Macaca fascicularis: one gene and its partner. The protein of the gene in region 1 interacts with the protein of each later gene in a pairwise test. Links are inferred from orthologs where the notes say so. Each region holds a gene or a part of one and is shown on either strand. Other genes may lie near its edges. The genes, in order: IRF9 and IRF1.

Region 1 (3,411 bases):
TACATGGCATTTCTGACTTTCTCCTGTGCCCTGTGCCCCGAGGTCTTCCACCTTTGACTGTGCATGCATTATCTAGTCAGTCAGGGCTTACAGCAAACTGTGCCCACATTACCATAGCCCAAGGCACTGGTTTCTAGGTGGCGAGAATTCCACATGCCTGGCCAGACTCCAAAAAGCTTGCTTCCCAAAAATATCACCCTATACACTCTCCTGGAAATCTACATTGAGACGTTGATTTCATTGGGCCAAACAGAGGCCCAATCTCAAGGGACCTTCTAGTAAACTACAAGCCCCTGGTCATTAAACCCTGAGGCCTCATGGTCAATCACATACTAGCTACTTGCCTAAGTGACAGGAAAACCTGAGAAGAAGTCCCCTGGCTGGTGCAGGGAGGGAAGGTGGAGCTATTCCCCTGGGGAGGGGCTGCTGCCAGCCTGCATGCTCCTCCAGCACCAAGTAGGGCTGTTCTATTCCCCAGACTACTCACTGCTGCTCACCTTCATCTACAACGGGCGTGTGGTGGGCGAGGCCCAGGTGCAAAGCCTGGATTGCCGCCTTGTGGCTGAGCCCTCAGGCTCTGAGAGCAGCATGGAGCAGGTGCTGTTCCCCAAGCCTGGCCCACTGGAGCCCACGCAGCGCCTGCTGAGCCAGCTTGAGAGGGGCATCCTGGTGGCCAGCAACCCCCGAGGCCTCTTCGTGCAGCGCCTTTGCCCCATCCCCATCTCCTGGAATGCACCCCAGGCTCCACCTGGGCCAGGCCCACATCTGCTGCCCAGCAACGAGTGTGTGGAGCTCTTCAGAACCGCCTGCTTCCGCAGAGGTGAGGCTGCTCTCTCTGGGCACCTGAGCTCCCACCCCCTACCTCTTAGTACCCCCTGGGCCCAACTTGGTGGGTCCTGCCACTTCCCTATCTGCCAGCAGATCCTCCATGTAGCCTATGCATGGCACTCCTGCACTTGTGTGGTGCACATCCTGTGTGGTCATATGCCCAGCCTGGCAGCTACCTGGCAGCTCTCCTCCAGCCAAGACAATGGAAGAGGTGGTTCAGGTAGAGCCCAGCACAAGAGTGTCGTATCTTAAAGAACACCATCACAGTGAAGCATGCAGTCACTATGTGAAGGTGCACAGAAGAATTGGCACAGAGATTTTGAGCTTCATGGCCTTCTCCTATATACACAGATTTGGGAGAGCTGGCACACATCACACACTCTGGCCCTGGCTGCACTGTCTCTACTACAGTCCAGGCATGCCTTAGGGTTGCGCTTCTCTCCCATCCAATTCCAGCTCCTACTCAATTCTAAACCTGACCTTAAGAGTGGGACCAGGTGTACACGGGTGCAGAGTGTGGGTGTTCCCAGCACCATGGGTACCCTAGCACTGGAAGGGTGTGAGCAAGCAGCAAAGGTCTGGGCACATCTGTGTTAGCAGCCAGGGCTGCTGCCCGGGAGGACTCTAAACTCTCCCAGCAGAGAGCTTTTTCAGCTGTGCAGTGATCTACTTCTAAGCACTTATTTGAGGCAGGGCCACCCTTTCCCTATTTGCACACGGGTGAGTAGCATTTAGTTCCAAGTACTTCTGACCTTGCAGCTCCTGCTGTGGCAGGACCCCCTCCTACCTCTCTCCATCATGGGTTTCTCACTATTGCCTCCCTGCCTGTGGCCCTCTCTTCTTTTTGAAATTCTTCCAACCCTTGACCCTTTCTCTTTCAGACTTGGCCAAGTACTTCCAGGGCCTAGGCCCCCCACCGAAGTTCCAAGTAACACTGAATTTCTGGGAAGAGAGCCGTGGCCCCAGCCATACTCCACAGAATCTTATCACAGTGAAGGTGAGCTCAGAGCAGGGGCAGAGTACCCATCTAATGAGAGCGGGGGCAGTGGTACTTCAGGAGGCAAAGGGGGTTTCCTAGTGGGGAAGGAGCTCCTGGGGGTGGTGTCTGTCCCTGATGCACTCACTAAGACACTCTTCTCCATCTCTTCCAATACAGATGGAGCAGGCCTTTGCCCGATACTTGCTGGAGGAGACTCCAGAGCAGCAGGCAGCCATTCTGTCCCTGGTGTAGAGCGTGGGGTACCCATCTTCCACCTCACCTCTTTGTTCTTCCTGTCTCCTTTGAAATAGACTCATTCTTCACACGATTGACCTGTCCTCTTTGTGATAAGTCTCAATAGTTGTCTGTGATAATTGTATCCTGAAAATCCTCGCACACACTGGCTGGTGGAGCACTCAAGGCTAATTTTTTTTCCTTTTTTTTTTTTTAATTTTGACATATACACCCTCTTTCATCTGTAAGGGACTGGGAAATTCCAAATGGTGTGAACCCAGGGGGCCTCTCCCTCTTCCCTGACCTCCCAACTCTAAAGACAAGCACTGCCGGGCGCGGTGGCTCACGCCTGTAATCCCAGCACTTTGGGAGGCCAAGACGGGCGGATCACGAGGTCAGGAGATCGAGACCATCCTGGCTAACATGGCGAAACCCCGTCTCTACTAAAAAATACAAAAAAATAGCCGGGCGAGGTGGTGGGCGTCTGTAGTCCCAGCTACTCAGGAGGCTGAGGCAGGAGAATGGCGTGAACCTGGGAGGCGGAGTTTGCAGTGAGCTGAGATCCGGCCACTGCACTCCAGCCTGGGCGACAGAGCGAGACTCCATCTCAAAAAAAAAAAAAAAAAAGACAAGCACTTTATATTTTCCTCTTAGATATTCACTAAGGATTTAAAATAAAATTTTATTGAAAGAGGAATCAGTATCTGATTTTCTGGGAGAAGAAGGTAGCAGTGGTCACAGATAGAGATGTAAACTTAAGAGTGGGGCACTGGGGTTCTCTTCCTGCTGACATCTCCAGCCTTTTTCCTCTCCTCTGCCCACAGGTTCTGGCTAATATGCTATCTGGGCCCTGTGGGTCCTGGGCCTGGCACTCTACAGAGGTACCCTCTGGGCAGACAAGATTAGGGAGTGGGTTGGGATAGGCCATCGAAAGGGGCATCAAGCCTTCAGCCAGGCACTATAGCCACCAACTTCACATGGTAAAGTCTGGGCTTCATAGTTCTTGCTAGAAGGCCTCAACATCGGGCCTGAGGTTAGACTGGAGGTCTAAATGAAGAGGAGACACTTGAAGGTGACCTGAAACTATGGTCTAGAGGCCCTGGGGCCTGAGAACAGAGGAGTCAGAGCGAAGAGTTGCTAAACCTGTACCTGTTGTTACTGGCACCTCTTCCTCCAGCACAAATTTCACCGTCACCCCAGCAGGGTACTCCCAAACTGGATTCCTTGCTCTATCTAAGCCCCATAAAAGACACTCTGGCTGGCTGGGTGCAGTGGCTCACGCCTATAATCCCAGCACTTTGGGAGGCCAAGGTGGGTGGATCACTTGAGATCAGGAGTTTGAGACCAGCCTGGCCAACATGGTGAAACCT
Region 2 (2,927 bases), on another chromosome or scaffold:
TCTTCACTGGGGTCCCTGAGCTCCCTGAGACAATATGCAGAATTACTGGGAACAGGGGCTGGTGGCAGACTAGTGTTTCTGGAGAAGAGAGTCCATCATTTCAGCAAATTCTCAAAGGGATTTCTAAAGCCAAGATCTTAGAAAGTGTGTGGCTTCAGGGGGGTTGTGGCTAGATGAGAGTTTTCCCTGGCAAAAGCATCTGTGAAAAGCAGCTGTAAGCCAGGGCACTGAAAGAGAGCCAGGTCTGCCTTCATGTTGACCAAGGCCCTTGGTCCAAGGCTCGTGTGGTTGGTAGCCTCCTTTATCCTTGAAAGATGGAGCTCTAGGCCCATCTCAGAACAGTCAGCCCACCCATTAGTTACTGTTCTCTGCTGCCCAGTCTGTGCCCACTCCCATGTTTGGAAATATCAGATAAGCCCCAGCCCACCTTGTGGCTGCTGATAGCCCAAGGAGGAAGACTGGGCATGGTCTGGGACACAGATAGTCCACTTTGGGGATATGGGGACTCTAGTGCTTCTACCTGGGCCCTTCACTGAGGCCCGCTAGATGTGTTTAAGCCAAGCCTCGGCATTTGAGAAGGTCCAGGGCCTAGGACCTGCAGAGTGTCACTGGAGTACCTGCTAGTTTGACCACTGTGGCTGTCTGGTTGCATGAGAGCTCAGGGGTACCCTTACCTTCCTCCACCAGGCCAGGGGCAGCTGAGGATCCCTACCTGTGGCCCTGACGATCCTCTTTTTTCTCCTGTCCTCTAGGCCGATACAAAGCAGGGGAAAAGGAACCAGATCCCAAGACGTGGAAGGCCAACTTTCGCTGTGCCATGAACTCCCTGCCAGATATTGAGGAGGTGAAGGACCAGAGCAGGAACAAGGGCAGCTCAGCTGTGCGAGTGTACAGGATGCTTCCACCTCTCACCAAGAACCAGAGAAAAGGTATCCAAGGACTCTGGGTCCTTGGGAAGCACCCTCAGGGAGGGAGGGTAGAAGAAGGTCAGCTGGGTCTGGCGAGCCTGCACCAAGGCTGACAGCCTATCTGCTCCACAGAAAGAAAGTCGAAGTCCAGCCGAGATGCTAAGAGCAAGGCCAAGAGGAAGGTGAGTATGGTCCTAAGCAGCCAGGCCTTTGGTCACCTGTGGGCCAGGGTGAGCAGTGGAAGAAATGCTAAGGTGGGCCTGGGCCTAAGCTGCTTTCTCCCTTGACAGTCATGTGGGGATTCCAGCCCTGATACCTTCTCTGATGGACTCAGCAGCTCCACTCTGCCTGATGACCACAGCAGCTACACAGCTCCGGGCTACATGCAGGACTTGGAGGTGGAGCGGGCCCTGACTCCAGGTGAGCTGGTGCAGGTCTGGCAGGGGACCCCACAAGTCAGTGGGATAGCTCTTTCTCTTGGAGGCATGGTGCTGGCAGATGGTGGCCCATTAGTGCAGGCTGCAGGGTTGGTGGGGGGGCGCTCGATGTCTTGCAAACTAAGAAAGCACACAGCCTTGACCCATGGCTTCTGCTGTCCCCCAGCACTGTCGCCGTGTGCTGTCAGCAGCACTCTCCCTGACTGGCACATCCCAGTGGAAGTTGTGCCGGACAGCACCAGTGATCTGTACAACTTCCAGGTGTCACCCATGCCCTCCACCTCTGAAGGTTAGTGCTCCTGGGGCCTGGCCTGCCTGCTTGACTGTCTGGGTCCTGTGAAGGGCTTCCTGAGAGAGAAAAGACGCTCAGAACTCCACCTGGCACTAAGCTGATTGAGCTGGGCATTGCCCAGTCTTAGCCCCCGTGGGGGGAGGCAAGCAACGGGGACACTAGGAAGGCAGTTCAGAGTGGGCTGCAGCACAGTGGGGGCTGGTGAGAGGAGGGAAGGGGGCCAGGGGCTGTATTTTGGGGTGCTGTTTCTCCTTCCTCCTCTGCAGCCCAGCATCTGAGGGTGAGGAAGGAAGTGGGGTGGGGGTGGGAAGAGGCGTGGCTTCAGGGTTTGAGAGGCTGAGTCACCAGGCCGGTGTCCTGTTCTGGAATCTCCATGGCAGGCAGGTCCACTGGGAGGGGTGTGTGTGTGTGTGTCTGTGTGTGTGTGTGTGTGTCAGAGAGAGAGAGACAGAAAGGGCAGGGGATCTGGTGGGCTGGAACTGGAACTGCAGGGCGAGTGTGGCTGACTGCCAGCCAACCTCTCTGCTTTCTCCATCCACAGCTGCAACAGATGAGGATGAGGAAGGGAAATTACCTGAGGACATCATGAAGGTAAAGCCCCTTCCTACCTGGGCACTCTTGAAGTGACCGTTTCTCAGTGAGGAGAGAGAACCAGTGAAGCTTCCAAATCAGAGGATGGGCAGCTGCTATTGTCACCTGGCTGCTTGCATCATCCCACAAGTGCCACATTCACGTGGCTTGACTGGTGGGAAAGCCACCATGGGTAGGGAAGGCAGGTGGGAGGCCTGGCCTCCGACAGGCCATCCTGAAGCAAGCCTGGGGGCATCAGACAGCTCTGTGAGTCAGGCACTATCAGCGATGGGTCCCTGGCCTGCACCCTCTGCCCCAACATGCCCCAGCCCTGCTAGTTTGGGAAATGCACATCAGGTTTCAATAATCAGCCTTTAGGATCCATTAATATGATTGCTTTATAGAAAAAGTTAGCAAATTATCCTCCAGGTTTTTTTTTCTGCTTCAGTTTTAAAAGTGAATATAAAGAAGTTTTTGCAGCCGGGGGCGGTGGCTCACACCTGTAATCCCAGCACTTTGGAAGGCCAAGGCGGGTGGATCACCTGAGGTCAAGGGTTCGAGACCAGCCTGACTAACATGGTGAAACCCATCTCTACTAAAAATACAAAAATTAGCCAGGCCTGGTGGCGCATGCCTGTAATCCCAGCTACTCCGAAGGCTGAGGCAGGAGAATCGCTTGAACCTCAGAGGCGGAGGTTGCAGTGAGCCGAGATTGTGTCA

What was found.
Region 2: the proteins of IRF9 (region 1) and IRF1 interact in a two-hybrid assay, tested with the Homo sapiens proteins (2 studies listed by BioGRID and IntAct). The link is inferred for Macaca fascicularis from reciprocal best matches to the Homo sapiens genes IRF9 and IRF1.

The regions. Positions count from the first base shown.
Region 1 is NC_088381.1:91,979,645-91,983,055, forward strand, and holds the end of IRF9 (interferon regulatory factor 9), read left to right. Parts: intron 1-478; coding exon 479-820; intron 821-921; coding exon 922-1,048; intron 1,049-1,709; coding exon 1,710-1,825; intron 1,826-1,984; coding exon 1,985-2,118; 3' UTR 2,119-2,732; downstream 2,733-3,411.
Region 2 is NC_088380.1:139,012,227-139,015,153, reverse strand, and holds part of IRF1 (interferon regulatory factor 1), read left to right. Parts: intron 1-752; coding exon 753-929; intron 930-1,040; coding exon 1,041-1,090; intron 1,091-1,198; coding exon 1,199-1,328; intron 1,329-1,511; coding exon 1,512-1,634; intron 1,635-2,178; coding exon 2,179-2,228; intron 2,229-2,927. UniProt on the Homo sapiens protein: Transcriptional regulator which displays a remarkable functional diversity in the regulation of cellular responses.